Linked DNA regions of Coturnix japonica. The protein of the gene in region 1 purifies or fractionates together with the protein of each later gene. This does not show direct contact. Links are inferred from orthologs where the notes say so. Each region holds a gene or a part of one and is shown in the gene's direction. Other genes may lie near its edges.

Region 1 (4,140 bases):
TCTTCCTCCTCCTCCTCCGGGGGCGCCGAGGAAGTCACGGGAGCAGACACCGAGGTCATCCCCGGTCCTGACGAAGCGGATTCCGGTTTCGGGTCGGAGCCGCCGCTCGGCGCCTGTTTGGCCTCGCCCTCTGACATGATGAGTCGAAGCACCTGCGGGAGGCAGGCCGAGCTCAAAGCAGGCCCTCATCCACCCAGCAGGCCCTCACCCACACACACAGCAGGCCTCGCTCAGAGCAGGCCCTCACCCACCCAGCAGGCCCTCACCCGCACACAGCCAGGCCCTCACCCACAGCCAGGCCCTCACCCACAGCCAGGCCTCGCTCACAGCAGGCCCTCACCCACATAGCAGGCCCTCACCCACCCAGCAGGCCCACACTCACAGCCGGGCCCTCACCCCCACACAGGCCCTCACACACAGCCAGGCCCAGGAGGCCGGAGCGGGCCGTACCAGCCGACTAAAGCCGCTCCCCCAACCTACAGCAGGTCCCCGATGCTGTCCCAGCTGTTGAAGGCCGCTATTGCCGCTATTCCCGAGCACGGGCCGCTCCTGCCGGGCCCAGCCGGCACCTCCCGGTCCCCGAACGCTCCGCCGACGGCCGCCCCAACCGCCGCGCTGCGTAACGCGCCGTCAGAGGCGGGGCCGACCGCTCGCCAGCCAATCAGAACGCGGACGCTTCCCTTCGTCCTGCTCTGATTGGTCGGTGGGAGGAGCTCGAGGTACGAGGCGCGATAGAGGGCGCCCGCGCACCTGTGTGGCAGGATGGGGCGGGAGCGGGGGGCTCGGCGGCCAATCAGAGCGCAGCAGCGGGATGCCGGCGTCCGCTGATTGGTCGGCAGCGGGGGCCTGGGGTATATAAGGCGGGGGAGAGAGTGCAGCGGGCAGAGGCCCTGTGGTGGGCCGTTAAGGCGAAGGAGTGGTTTTATTTGTGGAGTGATGTCGTGTGGGATCCCGTTAACGCTATAGTGTTATCTGTTTTCAGTTCTCAATGCACGTACAAACGAAGCACCGCCTCCGAGGGGCTGCTGCAGCCGGGCGGTGTGACGGCCGGCAGTCCCAGGGCTGCGGCCTATGGACCTCCGAGAGGCCTGAGTCCTCCGAGCCGGAGCGCTTCCCCGGCCGCGCCGCTCTAGGCGCCCCCCAACTCTATGCTCCTCACTTCCGGTCCCCGTGCCTCGGCCGCGCGGGTTGAGCTCCCCCCTCCCCCAACCTCCCCGTGGCGACTCTCTAGCCCTCACTTCCGGCCGCGCTACTTCCGCTGGGCGGCTCGTTGGTGGGTGGTTCCGCCGCCCTCGCCGCTTTGCCGCCCTCTCGTCTCCCCCATCAGGTGCCGCCCGTTCCGTTCCGCTCCGGCCTCCTCAGCGTCCGCCTCCCCCAGCCGCCCCTCAGCGCAAGGCCGCCGCGCCGAGGGCTGCCACCGCGGCGGCCTCCGCCATGGGCGCGTATCTCTCGCAGCCCAACACGGTGAAGAGCTCCGGGGATGGGGCCGGGCTCGGGCCGCGCCCGCTGCACTTCGGTTTTAGCGCTATGCAGGGTTGGCGCGTCTCCATGGAGGTAAGCGGGGTCCTCCCTCCATCCCATCCCCTTGTGCCACCCCCGGCCCTGTGCCGTTCTACGGGGGGACCCCGCCCGGTGGGAGCCCGGAGATAAGGGCTAAGGAGGGTTAGCAACTCTGTACCCAGGTCTAAAGCGATAGGACCGGAGGGAACGGCTTTAAACTGATAGAGGTTTGTGTGAGGTCTCTTGGAAGATCGTCATTCAGAGGGTATTAAGGCTCTGGCAGCGCTGCCCCATCGCTAGAGGTGTTAAGGGCCACGGGTGGGCACTGGGCTGGTGCTGCTTCTTTACTAGGAGAGTGGTTAGGCCCTGGAACGGGCTGCACAGGGAGGTTGTGGATGCCCTGTCCTTGGAGGTGTTCAAGGCCAGGTTGGACGGGGCCCTGGGCAACCTGATCTATGGGGTCTCTATGGGGATCTATGGGGTCTATGGGGATCTATGGGGTCTATGGGGTCTATGGGGATCTATGGGGTCTATGGGGTCTATGGGGTCTCCTGGGCAACCTGATCTAGTAAGGGTTTATGTTTGGTGGCCCTGCTAGGCAGGGGGCTTGGAACTACATGATCCTTGAGGTCCCTTCCAACCCGGGTCATTCTGTGTGACTCTGTGTGATGTAGTGGCTGGCAACCCAGCCTGCAGCAGCAGTTTACATCTACATGGTGTTTAAGGCTCCTTCCAACCCAGTGAGTGTAAGAACACCATTCACGTCCTGGTTAATTCTCCTTTACAGGCAGCTTGCAAACAAGGGGAGCTACAGAAGGACCAACACCGGGCCCTGCAGCTTCAGGGGTGCATCTCTGAATGTGGAGAAGCACCTTCTTGTTTGCAGCCCTTTGGATGGTCCATTCACAGCATGAGGGATTGGGTTCTGTCTGTATGATTCCACAAGTCACAGTGGGACACTAGATCGCTTCTGAAATGCTTTAGTGGTTTCATTGGTGGCAAAGCAATGACTGAGTTTGTCCTTCTTTCTGTGTGCACCAGAGCTTTCTGAAGCTGCAGGGCATGGTTTCTAGAGCAGATAGAGGCAGAAAGGAGAATTGGTGCCTGTGTTCCTAAGGTGAACTCGGTGTTTTTGTGCTCACTCGGCTGTGACCGATAGCATCTCCATTGTGTTGACCTTTGCCTGGGTGGGATGGTGGCATAACTGGAGCACTGGGGTGAAATCCAGCCATTAGCTTGTGGCAAAAGGCTGAATGTGGGCAGTGTTCTGCTGCACTGAGGCTGGAAACAAGGATGTGGGCTCGGATGGTTGATAACAGAGAGCCTATAACTAGGTGGCCACCATAGTCCTCCCACAGGTGGGCTCAGTTTGGCTGTTTTGAAGCCTGTTCTCACTGCTGTTGACCTTTCTGGAGATTGGATGAGAGCCAGAGCTCACAGCTGTGTGTTTTTTGTGCCCTAACCAACATCTTTGGCATATCTCCCCACTGGGAAAAGCAACGCTGAGGCCATCGGTGTGAACATAGTTCAGTTACGTTATCACAAGAAATGAGATGGGGGGAGTGCTGTGGTACAAACTGAACCTCCCAAGTGTTTGGTGGGGCTTTTTTGGGGTGGGTTTTTCCCCCTTTTTTCACATTTAATTGTACTTTTCCTTAAAGCTTGGAGAAAGTTCTGAGCAGAAAGTGTGTTCTTTTGCTTAATACCAAGGATCTTAGGCATGGTTTTGGTTAGTGAAGCTTAGCAGCACGTACGTAAGTAGTAGGAGGGGAGTAAACTCTTTGAAAGGGCTGACAATAGCAGGACACAGGGAAATGGTTTTAAGTTAAAAGAGGGAAGATTTAGGTTGGATGTTAGGGGGAAGTTCTTCACTAGGAGAGTGGTTAGGCCCTGGAACAGGCTGCCCAGGGAGGTTGTGGATGCCCCGTCCTTGGAGGTGTTCAAGGCCAGGTTGGATGGGGCCCTGGGCAACCTGGTGTAGTAAAGGTGTATGTTTGGTGGCCCTGCCAGGCAGGGGGGTTGGAACTACATGATCCTTGAGGTCCCTTCCAACCCAGGTCATTCTGTGATAGGAGAATACTGACCTTTCAAGTTCTGTTTGCTTCCTCAACAGTGCTGCCCCGGTTCAGGATCAGGACGTGTTGCAGTTGTACAAATGGAGTAGAAAGCTCATTTTTGCTGCCAGCTTTGGGTTTCCTCCCATTTGCGTTACTTGCTCTAATTAAGCTGCTGCTTAGTCACCAGGGACTTATCCCACTTACTTTATTGTGGTTTTGCTATCTCTCAGGCTTCTGTAAATGCAATGAGAAGTGAGGCTGAGAGCAGAACAGCTCCTCAGCTTGCACAGCTGTGCAGCAATCCAACGTGGCTGAGTGTATGTCTAGAACTGTTTGGGGCTGGCTGGCAGTGGAACCAGCTGACTTGGAGCAAGTGCTTTTCTTTTGGGGCATCTGGAGCACAGTGAGCTTCGAGGTGAAGAGCTTCAACCACAGCAAGGAGGCAAGATCACATGGTTTAAACAATCCCATGCATGTTTGGTTTGTTCACAGGGTGAAAGAGGTCACACTGGCTGTAAGGTCTGGGCAATGTCTTCTTTCAGGTCTGCTGCTGTGACCGTGTGGAGATAGATCCCTGTGTATG
Region 2 (3,648 bases), on another chromosome or scaffold:
GAACTACTCAGCTCATCCTGAAGCAGAAGTTAGTTTACACATTAGCTGCACTAACAATTATGCTTTTTGCTTTAAGAATAGTAAATTTGTGGTTAAGATGATCTATCAGTATATTTGCTCAATTGTGTTACTCCAGATGGATTATATCAGTTGTGCTGTATCTATAGAGACAGACAGTCCTTTTCCAGCAAAAGAAATAATGCATTTCAGATTCCATAAGTGTGTTCTTTGTTTTCTTAAGGATTCCATACTTGAAGTATAAATCATTAGCCCATCAGTGTTGTGTGGGAAGTCTATATCACTTGTCAGAGTCCTCAATTGCATTGAACTTCCAAGTTGTTTTTTAAAGAGTGTATAGAAGAAAATTCTTTATGTTTTCTGTGGGTGTTAAAGTTTGGATGTCTCGAACAGTTTTTTAACTAAGACTGGTACTGCATAATTTTCTGTTCAGATGTTATCAGCATGACTCATCTCAGCTGAAGTAAAAGCTGGGGCTCTTTTGTGTTGGAAAGGCTAGGTTAAACACAAGGAGAAACATGTTTTCACTGCAAATTATTTCTGTACTGTAAAAGTACATCACAAAGGCTTTTTTTCTTCCTTTCTTTTCAAGGACAATTATCATTTGGAAGGTAAAAGACAGAAATTCCTTTGATAGATGAGCACAAAACGTTAAATATAGGATTCCTTGAAGCTTGAATTCTGATGGTGACAACTTTCTGTAGATCCTCATCAGTCTGCAGTGTGGGTTTGCATGCTGGAGTAATGACTGCCACATTCTTTTCATGGGAATTCTAGCTCATTCTTGATGTCTGTTTGTTACACACAAGTAGGGCTTTCTAAATTGCGTTGATTTCATCATGTGCTCCTTTTATTTTTTATTTTTCCTTCTCAGATGTTGACATATCACTGCTTGTTTCTTTCAACAAAATGAAAAAATTGACTACTGATGGAAAATTGATAGCACGAGCAGTTAAAAGTTCATCTGTTGTAGAGGTGGGTGTTCAATATTTCACTCTTTTGCTGCAATTGGATTAGTAGTTATAGTGGAACTGAAGTAGTCAGTCCTGCTGACTGTGTTGTTTTTTTTTTTTCTGGTTAAATTCTAGTTGGATTTAGAAGGAACTAGGATTAGAAGACGCCAGCCGCTGGGTGAACAACCAAAGGATGTGGATAGTCGTACAGTCTATGTGGTAAGTTTGTACCTGTTTTGTGAGCTTTGTGTCTCACAGAGCACTTTATTTCCAGCTGTTACAAATACTTTAAACTTCTATTCTTGCTGAAAAAAAACACTGTACATTTTTCAGGCTGTAACTTGATTGCAAATTATTATAGTAATAAGAATGGCACATACAACAAAGCAGCCGCATATTTTACTACAGTTAAAAGTTGGATTTTCTTTGACAAGATCAAAGTACCAGGAAACAGGATTTTTTCTCAGAAAAAAGACAGCACAAAAGGAGAGAGATGTACTAAACTTGTAATGATGAGGCATATATTAGGCTTAATATGTACTTTCAATGCAATAAAAATTTGTTTTGGGAATACAGAATCACAGAATTGTAGGGGTTGGAAGGGACCACTAGAGATCATTGAGTCCAACCCCCCTGCCAAAGCGGGTTCCCTACATCATGTCGCACAGGTAGGTGTCCAGGTGGGTCTTGAATATCTCCAGAGAAGGAGACTCCACCACCTCCCTGGGCAGCCTGTTCTAGTGCTCCGTCACCCTCACTGTATCATGTGGAACTTCCTATGCTGTGGTTTCATCCCATTACCCCTAGTCCTGTCCCCACGCACTACTGAAAAGAGACCAGCCTCACCACTGTGGCCCCCACACCTCAGGTATTTATAAACCTGGATCAAGTCCCCTTTCAGCCTTCTTTTCTCAAGGCTAAACAGACCTGTTCATTTATAACGAATGAAAATACCTGTTCATTTATACTTTTGTTAGCACAGAGAGGTCAGGGCCTGACTATTACTGCTTGTGCAGAGTAAAGGAAGTAAAGAGAAAGTAGGTGATCACAGCCAGAGACCAGGGCAAGAAAGGAATGGGTTTAGTGTCATATGCTGTCTTCTAGCATTGTCTTGATTTAAAATGCTGAGCAAAGAGCTGTTTCACATCCTGGCATGGAAATGGTGTATTTTCATCCATATCTTACTTATTTCCCTGGGCTTTTCTGATTAATGTTGCTAGAGGAGTCACAGTGGTACTAGCAAGCATTTATGAAGTAAACATTCTTTTAGTTGCAGGATTTACTTAAGTGAGCTAATCTTATGTTAAGGTTGCTTTTTAAAATATTCCTACTAGCATAATGTGGCAACCTTACTAGTTCAATGATTCACTAACATAAATGAAAATAGCTTATGCTGCTTCTCAGTATGATATTTTAGATCTCAGAGTAGGTCTACTATTATTGTATTGTTGAGCCACTTGTGTTGGGAAGTGGAAAGAGATCTGATGGTTGTACTGTCACTTCTTTAAAAGTTATGTGCATTTTTAATAGAATTGAACCCAATATGAAGGCCTTCATATAATATTTCAATGTATTGAGTGATATAACCTAACTACATAGTTAACTGGATTTTCCTTAATTTTAACTTTTTCTGTAAAACCAAAATAGGTGATTTGGGTTTTGTAATTTAGTTAATCCATAAAAAATCTTATTTGGAGAATGTGTAGCAGTTCTATATCCTCTCTTTACCACCCAAAAAGGTACAGAGTTATTTTGTTGTTGGTTGGTTGGTTTAGTGGGGTTTTGTTTGTTTGTTTGGAAAGGGGAAGAGGGATATTGTTTGTTTTATCACATTTTAGAAGCCTGTTGTGTCAGATACCCACCCCTTATTTTGTTATTACTAGACTGTTGAGCCATGTTAAATGACTTCTCGAAGTCATTTAACTCATTAAGCCATGAGGGGGAGCAGTGATCCTTTAAGGAATGGTAACTTGTCATGGAAAAAAAAAAAGAGAGAAGTATTGGTTACTTAATTCAGGCATGTATCTGGGAGTACTGATTTTAAATTGTGTTCAAATGAGTCTCCTTTAGGCACTGATACAATAGAATGTTTCTTTGATAAGGGAAGGAAAACTGTTAAGAACTGAGGCATTGTGTGTGCATGCTCCTAAAATGTGTTGCTGTATTAAAAAGCTGGTAGAGCTTAAACCAATTTGAGTAGTACCTCTTTAGTGACCTGCAAGAATTAATTTGTGTGACACCTGAGTTCTCAACATGAAACAAACAAACACAATCCTTGTGCTCTATGCTGATGAGTTTGAAGCAATACAGAGTTATGCTTACTCTGATCTTAACTGGACAGAGATGGTTTATCTTTGAACAAGGCAGTGACATGTGAAGCCTTGGTGTTTCTGTCAAGGGAAGAAGATGAACCTGTTTAATTCAATCCAAATTATTTGTTAAGATAGGAGAATGTATAGAGATCCATTTTCAGATCACTGTCTTTACTGTCTGAATGTTATGACCTCCTGACAAGAATATTTACTGAAGTAAATTATTTATTTAATGTTACATCAAATGTGTTTTTTTGTGAAGAATTCTATTTAGATGTAGCAAACCATCTGATAAAATGATAGTACAATACTGAGAAAACAAGATTTCTTTTTGCTTTTATAGGAGCTTCTTCCCAAAAATGTCA

What was found. Proteins that work in one complex are often made in the same cells at the same time.
Region 2: the proteins of PPM1G (region 1) and LARP7 purify together in Homo sapiens (affinity purification with mass spectrometry; 3 studies listed by BioGRID and IntAct, with this or other methods). This does not show direct contact. The link is inferred for Coturnix japonica from reciprocal best matches to the Homo sapiens genes PPM1G and LARP7.

What each region holds. Positions count from the first base shown.
Region 1 is NC_029518.1:95,309,310-95,313,449, forward strand, and holds the start of PPM1G (protein phosphatase 1G), read left to right. Parts: upstream 1-1,236; 5' UTR 1,237-1,434; coding exon 1,435-1,554; intron 1,555-4,140. Other genes in the region: NRBP1 (nuclear receptor-binding protein), read right to left, coding at 1-137.
Region 2 is NC_029519.1:51,167,249-51,170,896, reverse strand, and holds part of LARP7 (la-related protein 7), read left to right. Parts: intron 1-892; coding exon 893-993; intron 994-1,106; coding exon 1,107-1,190; intron 1,191-3,626; coding exon 3,627-3,648. UniProt on the Homo sapiens protein: RNA-binding protein that specifically binds distinct small nuclear RNA (snRNAs) and regulates their processing and function.